Linked DNA regions of Arabidopsis thaliana. The protein of the gene in region 1 purifies or fractionates together with the protein of each later gene. This does not show direct contact. Each region holds a gene or a part of one and is shown on either strand. Other genes may lie near its edges.

Region 1 (4,458 bases):
CCGGCATGTAGTAGCCGTGTTCCGCCGGCGATTCTCGTGACTCCTCCATTCTTCACGATGTTTTTGTGAGAGAGAAGTCAGATGTAAGCTTTAAACTGATGTGTATACCGTATGCGTTATTGATTCCTAATACTTCTTTTTCTGACCAAGAAGAGAAAAAAAAAGAAAGGTACACAAAAAGATTCCGAAACAATTTCTCAGTTTTCTTAAGAGACCCGTATAGAATATATTTTCTTACAGTTGGACCCCATCTTTTTAACTATTCGACTGAAACTTATGCTCATTACACGACCGGGCACGACCCCACTATTAGTGGTGAGCGGAATCAGAATCCAGAGGCGAGCAGAATCGGAATCCTAAACCCAATCTAGTGACCCAAACACGACAAAAGTTGTTTTGATATTTTTCTTTTTCTTTTCTTGTTTTTATTGTCATTTCAACCGTAATCTTTCATTTCAACAAACTTCTAACATAACAATTCAAAAAGATATATAGCTATGCCAAATAAAAGTTGTGTATAACTTAATGTTGATTATTAACAAAAACTAAATTAGTCTGTATAATAAATAATGATGTAATAACCAATCGATAGCACGAAGACATGACTAAGTACTGACCACGTAAGGAGACAATGACTAAACACGTAAGGAGGAGATTTAAAAAAACGCCATAAAGAGAGCACTAACCAGATGAAACCATAGGATTCATGATTCAAACTTTTACAATCGATTAGCGCTACAATATCAAAAACCTTAAATAGTCCAAAGTAATATCCGATGCCGTAAATATGATGATATTCATTAACCATCAAAAGCACAAGAGGAACACCCATTCTAGTTTCTAATCAGATTACAGAAGTTGCTAGCTCCTTAATATCGTCAGAGACTTGTTCGTAGTCTGTCTTTAACTTTGCAAGTTCTTCTGCAGTTAAATCTCCTTTCGCAGGTTTAAGCATTACCAAGACACAACATGTTGGTCGTTTCGTTGCCCCTGCTTGCGCAAGATCCTGAATTTCATAAAAAAAATATTGAATATCTTAGCACCACAAAACCGATTAATTGGTAAGATGATAGAAATCAAGAAAGAAAATTGGCTTACTTCTTTTGAAGGAACGTATACATAAGGAACACCAGCCTCCTCACACAAGATTGGAAGATGAGTAATAACATCAATAGGTGAAATGTTTCCAGCTATTACACATAATCTGCACAAACACAAACGTATCACATCAGATACAACATTCAAAACATAAAAGAATTTACTGTTTGCGTAGAAGAAGGAAAAAACAATTAGAAATGTAAAAATGTGGGTTCAAATCAGGCCCGCAAATCAAAGAACCAATAAGGAACTCAGAGCAGGCACAGACATTTGAAACCCATGATTCAGTTTCCGTGCACAGTACCATGCTACAATCATTCTGTTTAATCCAGAGCATCGGCTTAATTGTACACGGATATAACATCAACTATGCAAACAACTATCATAACATCAATGAAAACAAACATAATAAGTAACAAAAAGCAGAGAATGTAGATCTAAACCAGGCCGTCTCATCACGAAAAATCAGAGATGGCAGACATGTCGATCTATAGTTTAGTTTCCGTGCACAGTACCATGCTTCCTTCATTCTATTTTAATCCAGAGCATCGGCTTAATTGTAGACGGCTTTCAAAATCAGCTAAATAAAGAGCTTACACTAGTAGATAACATCATGAATGATCATAGAAGAACATGTTACCGTTTTCACAAACATAATCACAACACAAACAGAGAATGTGGATCTAAACCAGGCCGTCTAATCAGGGAAAAAATCAGAGATGGCAGACATGTCGATCCATAGTTCAGTTTCCGTGTACAGTACCATGCTACATTCATTACTTTAATCCAGAGCATCGGCTTATTTGTACACGGATTTCAAAACTAACTAAGCAATTTGCAGGACAATAACATCAACTAATCAATTAATAACACAAAACATCAACACATATACATCAGCTAAGCCATCTGCAACACAAAACAATCATAAATCACACTCAATAAAAAGACAAAGAATGAAAAAACTAACCCTTTCTGGCCTCGTCTTATGCTCTTAACCACTTCTTTAACTCCTCTCTTCAAACATTTCTTCCCAGCAGCTGACAAAAATTACAGAGCAATACACCAACATGAGCTACTAATCAATATATAATGAGAAATAAAGAAGATAGAGAGATGTGAAGCGAGCTTGGAACTGAGATTGGTACCTTTTTGAATGAGTTTGAAAGTTCTCTTCTGGAGTTTTTTGCCGGCGAGAGGTTTAGCGATAGGAGCAAGAGTAATAGCGTACTTCTTCTTCTCCTTTTGAATCGACTTCTCTGCTTCGGTATCGCTTCCCATATTTTTTAGCTAGCTAGCTCCAAGTAACAAAAATAATGGCGGAAGAGTGTGGCGGAAAAAACTAGGGTTTAGGCGGTTGTTATATGACCAGAAGTGTTAGGGTTTTTATAGAGAAGTGTATTATTGACCAGTAAAATATAGGAACCCTAATTTCATATGGGCTTGTTAATGAGGTAAACTGGTTGCATATAATGGCCCAATTATTTGGGCCTTCATACAGACTAAGATTTGCTACATTCATTGACTTTTGACTTTGAGATATTGTATGTTGTTTAGCTTGAAAATCAAAAAAATCAAATCCGACCAAAAAAAAAAAAAAAAATCAAATTTTCCTTAAGATAATGTTAGTTACTGTAGCTGGTGAATGTTATTTAACCACATTCTCGCAAATAAATTCCAACGATTAGTATGAGGTTTTTTATCGGATGCTCAGATGAAAAGACTTTTTTAAAAACTTCACCAAGTGATTTTGCTTTATCCATGACATCCATTATCTATATATATTACCAAAAAACAGTATGATTCTATTACCAAAACGTGTTTCTAACTTGCTTGAGGAAATGTACAAACAACTAACAAAAAGCCATAAGTGAAGATTGATGTTTGGAGCTTGAATGTCATTGTCGGGTCAATAAGTACGTAGGAATATCATGGGGATGGAGATCAGTGTTTGCGTTAGCAATTAACAATTTTCGGTTTCATCATATATAGTAGAAAATAATGAACTTAATCACAAAACAAAACAGTGGATAATCCAAAAAGCAGCTCAAGGCATGGCAGAGTTTACATATTTTTGGAGTGAATTGATTCTTGTTGTTAAAAACTCAACATCAAATCAGCTTCATGAACTTGAAACGCTTCTAAAGCATAGATATCAGAGTGAAGGATTAAGAACAAGTACCCACAGATGTCATCCTCGCTTCACCACTGATACATCGCCTACTACAATATATAGGAGACTGCAATTGATTTCACTGGTCCAGAGAAAGCAAATTTAGATGCCAACTTCTATCTCACCTACAAATGTATAAAGGGCATTGTTACAAGAACACAGGAAAATTTGTACCGATTTATACAATGGCAAATTTGTACCGATTTGTACCTACAAATGTACCGATTTATAAAGAGAAATCTTGCATGTTGGAAAAAAGCAAGAAAATTTTGAAGCTAGACTTTTTGATACATGAAACAAAACACAACACTTTTTCAGGAACATTGTTTGGTCAGACGAAGTAAGCAACCTACAAGAATCTGAACTTCTTTTTAATTATCCAACGCCAAATCTACTTGATAAACATTAAGATAAAGCTAAGGCGCTTATCAGTCAACTACACACTTCAATAACAAGCACTTCATTAACTGAAAAAACAAACAAACTAAAGAGGTCGAATTCTCACCAGAAACAACAGTCACCTCTTCATCTGCTCTCTAAGAACACAAAATCCTCAGCTTTCCCAGAAAAGTAATCGGACTTGACTCTGTTTTCCCTCACTTTTTTCTTCTTTCAAAAACCAATAAACAAAAAGATTCAAGTCAATAAGAAAGATACAAGAGGCAAACGCTGGATGCAGAGGTTTATCGATCTATTCATGCTTTTACATTTTTAATGTGTTCACAGGAAGAGATCGATGAACCGCTGCCTCCAGCGACTCTCACTCTTCTTCCAACTAAACTCCAAAATGTCAACGAAACATAAATTTTCCGAATCGGATCAAACGAAACACATCAGATCTGAAAATTCAACAGTCAAAATCTATACCACAAGTAGTAAATAGCTGGATCTTTATTGCCTTATGAAACCAAATGGACAAAAACATATACCCTAGATTACACACATGCATCTGCAGACAAACTGGGAGAAAGAGAATCAGTGTGATGATAGAGATATGTCAAATTAATGAATCCAACAAAGAAAGAAAAAGGAAACAGAGAGATGAAAGTTTTAACCAGGAATCTTCTTGACCAGATACCATTTGTGATTCTCTGATTTGCCTATTGGCCTACTACATCCCTCCTCTCTCTCTATCTTTTAATAACAAACTTTATAGATCTGGTTTTTTCTTCTAGAACTAAAATGTATTT
Region 2 (5,393 bases), on another chromosome or scaffold:
TTGATTTGGCAGTTTCTTTCATCACCGTTAAAAATGATTCAGAAATATATATATTCACCATTATTCGGAAATTGATAGTCTTTTAGAATTGCCTAATTAAGTTTTCGTATATATTTATTTTATGGGATCATTAAAATAGCAAACAATTGTTTCCAAATTTCTCCAAAACGAAGAAAGAATTGATTATCGACATTATCGCCGTGCATTTCGATCCAAGCTTAAGTGCTCTACGGGAAAACTGAAAATTCAAAAACCTGCGACGACCAAGACTTTTGTCGGATCGAGAGACTCAGACAAGTCAACAGAAGAAAAAATTTCTGGCTAAAAGAACAGAATCGTTAGTAACACTCATATACCATATGACCACTTGTAATTAATAACTTGACTTGTCTCAGGGTTTGGATTTTGGAATAAAACTTCCAATGTTAAGAGAAAAAACTAAAAAGTAAGAAACCGTTAATCTTGGCATTTTGTTTGAAAGAAAGAAACAAAGTTTTTTTTTTCTTAGATGCTTTTTGGAAAAAGAAAGCAGAAGAAAATAGCTGGAAAGTGTTCAAATGCCGATTCAAAACAAAAGGAGCCTTACGTCAAAAAGCTCCCATAATAGGACCATCTTTTTCACCATAACAATGTTAGATGAGATCTAAAAAGATAAGATGACAAATAACACATGCTAATTCAAAATACTGTCTCAAGATCATCCATGGATCAAACATAAAGCAAAATACCAATAGCACTACAAATATCTGTCTAAGTAGGGAAATATCAATCTGAGGCAAACAAAATATCTGATCAAACAGAACAAGACTGAAAAACTGAAGAGTAGAGAGATATATGGTGTAATCATAAATCACTGGCTTGGAGAACGGTCTCCATTTTGTGCTCCACGAGGGACTGGGGTCGGGCTCCTGCTCTGCCTAGGGACAGGGCTTTGGCTCCTTGCTTGTTCTGGCGTGTAGCTCCTGTTTTTTCTTGGGCTCACGCTTCTTCTTGGGCTTCTGCTGTGGCTCTTCACTCTCCCAGGACTTCCACTGCGAACCCTTGAGCCATTATGGGGTGGTGAGCGAGAGTATGACCTCTCCTTCTCATATCGTCTATCCTGAGGTGAGACAGACCTGCCATAAGACAGAGTTGGAGAGTAGAGGGTGGTTTAATCCATCAGTTAACTGTAAGAATATCTGTCAGTATGAATTTCACAGGCATGCAGAGCTAGTTACCTAGATTGATGTCTTTTAGCGGGAGGAGAATTATAGCCGCGGCTACGTGATCGTGATCTACGACCACGGCGAGGAGGAGGAGACCGAGAGTACCGAGGAGGAGAACGTCTTCTGTCCTGGAATCTGTTGCTCCTACAAACATGAAAAGATACAAGTTGAGATCAAGTCATCTCATTGTATAGACAAACTAATGCTTTTTTCTAGGAAGAATGTCAATTCACCTTCCACCTCGATCCCTTGTTCTCATCTCAGTTGGCTTCTTCCGGTTTTCTTCAGCAAATACGACAGTCAACTCACGACCAAGAAGAAGATAACCATCCATTTGATGTTTAGCCTCAGCAGCATCAGCAGGATCCATAAACTGAATGAATCCAAACCCCCTTGGATCTCTGCAACAAATCCAACAAACAAACAAAAAATCTCAGCCTAGAACCAAAAACACAATAAGCAAGAAAGATGTACAGCTTTGACGAGAAGCCTGTAGAAAAAGTTGGCATTACAATCTCCTGCAATAGAAGCCATCGTTATAAACATGAAAAAGCAAGCACTTGCCTGCAAACCTTGCAAGTTTCAGTATAAAGATGACTTCTCCAAGACTTGATATCTCTTCAAATTGAATTCAAACCCAACTTCCTTCCAACCTTCACTACCATTTAGAACATCTTCCAAAGAACTCTAATTACTTCATTGGTCTCTTCAACTCTCTAGATTCACTGTTAAACCTCAACAACTTTAATAAACAGACTCGAAGTGTGACCGAACATGGAACATATCACTGTATTCTTTCCCTAAAGTGACTCGAAGAGGGCGAAGTTTTAGGTGTACTAGACTTAAGCTGAAAACCTAAGTGTAGATAAAACAAACGTTTCAAGGCTCCAAATGTGATTTTGGGAAGATTGGATATAAAACCGGACATGTTTGACATAGACCTTTCAGAAAATTCTTATAAATCTAACAAATTCATGAGCTGCATACGATGGAATGTAGGATTCACAAAAGGTGGTTTACGAAGCAAAAGAAAACAATAAGAAAGAGACATAGTCTAATTGAAGTAATGTAAAATTATGCCCTGGATGTATAAACATTCAATGTCTTATCTACAGAGCATCCTCACCCAGTATAGTAATCCCTAGGAAGGTAGATGTCCTTGACGGGACCAAACTGCTCAAATGGCCTCCTGAGGTCTTCTTGCCTGGAGAAAAGGTCAAGAGAAAACAGAGTCAACCAATTGTAAACAACTGTGATTTTCTAGTAATATGGATACACAAGTTTATGCATGCGCTATCTAAAAATAATGAAATATACGTTTTACATGCTTCTAAATCAGTTTTTGCCACACAAAAAAATCCACCAAACCAATCTTTGATGATGAGTCATACATCAGCTTTAGGAAAGCCTTTTAGACAAGGCTAAACAAGTAATGGACTCACGAAAACTTACAAGGAAACAAAATCATTGAAAAGAAATATATAATTTTGTGTAAGAGAGAAAAGAGTAGTATACACATGCAGTAGTAAAGAATATACCTGCAATCATGACGTAAGTTGCGAACCAAGAGACTGGTTGGGAGATCACTGTCACGACTCCCACCAAACCGGCCCCGAGGGCTAGGGCTCCGGCCCCTCCTTCCATAACCCCTTGGTGGTGATGGCGTGTAGCTCCTTCCTCTCATTGTGTCTAGACTTTAATATCTATATCAATCAAGTAACCAACAGAAATTGAGTCAGAGAATGTGCTAGATATGATTGAATGATTAAGAAATAGAAGAACCACCGCAGAAGCTTACACACATCTAGAGAAGACTTCAAAAAAGTATAAAACCAAATTTGAATTCTACAAATTCCAAGCCATAAAACAATTACTGAATGTGGATATACATCTAGCTAATAATGAGTTTCAAACTAAGAACTAAGCTATCGGAGAACATCTCAAGTAACAACAAGAAAGATCGATCCTAAACAAGAATACAAATTTGAGATCAATTCAATAGACCTTAATTAACCACTGCCGATAAGATAAGACGACGAAGAAGAAGAAAGGAGAACAGATTAAGCATCAAGAGACTTACCGCAGCTAAGGAGTTGAAAAGAACGACGGACGGCGAAGAAAAACACAGGGGAAGCGGCGGGATATGTATCGGAGAAAAGAGACAGTGTTTAGAGAGAAAGTGTGAAACCTAGTTTTATGGTTTTGGATCTTATGGTCTGAAGCGAACGGGTCATTAGGGTTTTTTCTGCAATTTTTTATTTTATTTCCTTTCTTATGTATTGTCTACAAATCCTTTCGTTTTTCCCTTTGTCAACTTTTGCCCCAAATTCCTTCCAAACGTTTAGTTTTACGCACCATACTTTCTTATATTACATGTAGACCCAGTTAATGTAGTTTTTTTTTTTAAAATCAACAGATCCATTAAATGTAGTTAATTTCTTAACTTAATTGTAAAGTTTGAATCTTGTTCTTATGAGAGTAATTTAGAGGAATTTAAGTATTGGTTCAATCTAACTCTTGTGATAGAATATGAGGATATATCTTATATTAAGCCGGTTTATTTTGATCGTTTATCATTGAAATTATGTTTGGTTGATTAAAAAATGAAAATATCTAACTTTTTTTGTTATGTATTCTACACTAAAATTTGAAATCACTTGTTACTCTTACAATTTTATGTTTTCCGTATGTGTGTTTCGACAACTTCTCCAATCAAAATGCATAATAATAAATTAATCGATTTAGTTTTATTCCAATCACTTTGTTACTAACAAAATGTGTTCTTGGCATTCAAGAGACATTAGCCATACATTTTTCTTTTTTTTCAAAGAGAAATAATAGTAAAGTTCATATCAACGATTTAAATATATGGTCAAATTGAATGATATATCTAAGATACCAATTTGAAAGAAAATAAACTAAAAAACTGTTAAACTATTTTAGTCGAGTGGTTCATTCATCTTTGAATTTAAGAAACAAAAAAGTTGATAAGAAAAGTTTTTGAAAGTTAAAAAACATGTGAAGAGAGTAGAAAATATAAACCAAGGGTCTGTTTGTAAAGCCGAATTATCTGAGTCAAAACAAAAAATATCGCAACTCTAATAGGGTAAAAGCGAAATCATAAAAACATAACGAAGCCCTAGTCCAAAAATTTCTCATACTATAAAATGATTTTTTTTTTTGCTTCGCTCCCTCTTTTTCACTTCGTTAACGGCCCCGCCTCCACTCTATCCTACCGCCGACGTCCGTGATCGCCGGTTAGTCTTCTTCTTTCTCTTCGCCCTCTCAACATACATCGTTGCAGAAATCAATCGTGTTTCGAGCTGCGCGATTGCATTGGTCAGGTTTAGGAAAGCTATGTGTGTTTTGGTAGTGGTTCGGCTTTATTTGGCCTAAACAAATCTAGCTATTGGTTCAGAAGAAGGTGGAATCCTGAGAAAGCTCTCTAAACAACGCATGTGATCTAGCAATTGGATTACTTTACAAAAATTAAGAGTCTTTAAGGTGCATAACCTGTGTGATAGAATGTAATTGGATCTATGACTTGTGGACCATTTCCTAGGTTTTTTAAAAGATTTTTTCTGATATGTATGACAACAGACACGAGGATTATGCTAGTAATTGCCTGAAAGTATTGATTTTTGGAGCCTAAAACCTTTTGTATCATTTTGGTGAAAGGTTATGTTTCACTCGTGTAACACAATTCCATTTCACTTGTTACATTTTTATATATGTTTTCACTTGCATTATCTAAGAAGCTGGAATTCTTGCTTTGATTTTATTAGCAGTAGCATCTAATTTTGTTTGTTTTTCAGTTTCTCTCTTCAGGAAAAGTGTAGTTAAACGATTGAGTATTCCAATTTTGTTCTTTGGCTATGTAATTTACAGAAATGACTGAAGCAGAGTCCAAGACTGTTGTTCCTGAGTCAGTGTTGAAGAAGAGAAAGAGGGAGGAAGAATGGGCACTTGCCAAGAAACAGGAGCTTGAGGCTGCCAAAAAGCAGAATGCTGAGAAGAGGAAACTCATATTTAACCGGGCTAAACAGTACTCCAAGGAGTACCAGGAGAAAGTATTTTTCTACAAGCTTAGTTTGCAATTTTTTCTAATGTGAGAAATGCAAATTCATTGAGCGTTTCTGCTACTTGTTTTCTTCAGGAAAGGGAATTAATCCAGCTGAAGCGTGAGGC

What was found.
Region 2: the proteins of AT5G08180 (region 1) and SCL30A fractionate together in Arabidopsis thaliana (co-fractionation; one large-scale study listed by BioGRID). This does not show direct contact.

Annotation. Positions count from the first base shown.
Region 1 is NC_003076.8:2,630,999-2,635,456, forward strand, and holds AT5G08180 (Ribosomal protein L7Ae/L30e/S12e/Gadd45 family protein), read right to left. Parts: upstream 2,853-4,458; 5' UTR 2,681-2,852; exon of another isoform or gene 2,438-2,680; 5' UTR 2,377-2,437; coding exon 2,244-2,376; intron 2,136-2,243; coding exon 2,066-2,135; intron 1,926-2,065; exon of another isoform or gene 1,772-1,925; intron 1,668-1,771; exon of another isoform or gene 1,526-1,667; intron 1,419-1,525; exon of another isoform or gene 1,302-1,418; intron 1,205-1,301; coding exon 1,099-1,204; intron 1,007-1,098; coding exon 845-1,006; 3' UTR 518-844; downstream 1-517. Other genes in the region: EMB1873 (porphyromonas-type peptidyl-arginine deiminase family protein), read right to left, coding at 1-49. UniProt on the Arabidopsis thaliana protein: Required for ribosome biogenesis. Part of a complex which catalyzes pseudouridylation of rRNA. This involves the isomerization of uridine such that the ribose is subsequently attached to C5, instead of the normal N1.
Region 2 is NC_003074.8:4,428,714-4,434,106, forward strand, and holds SCL30A (SC35-like splicing factor 30A), read right to left. Parts: upstream 3,447-5,393; 5' UTR 3,286-3,446; intron 2,909-3,285; 5' UTR 2,890-2,908; coding exon 2,744-2,889; intron 2,410-2,743; coding exon 2,332-2,409; intron 1,607-2,331; coding exon 1,439-1,606; intron 1,350-1,438; coding exon 1,218-1,349; intron 1,116-1,217; coding exon 851-1,115; 3' UTR 543-850; downstream 1-542. Other genes in the region: AT3G13580 (Ribosomal protein L30/L7 family protein), read left to right, coding at 5,096-5,275, 5,362-5,393. UniProt on the Arabidopsis thaliana protein: Involved in intron recognition and spliceosome assembly. Binds probably to multiple 5'-GAAG-3' repeats found in its third intron, suggesting autoregulation of alternative splicing. May be necessary for accurate splicing of the 3' region of introns.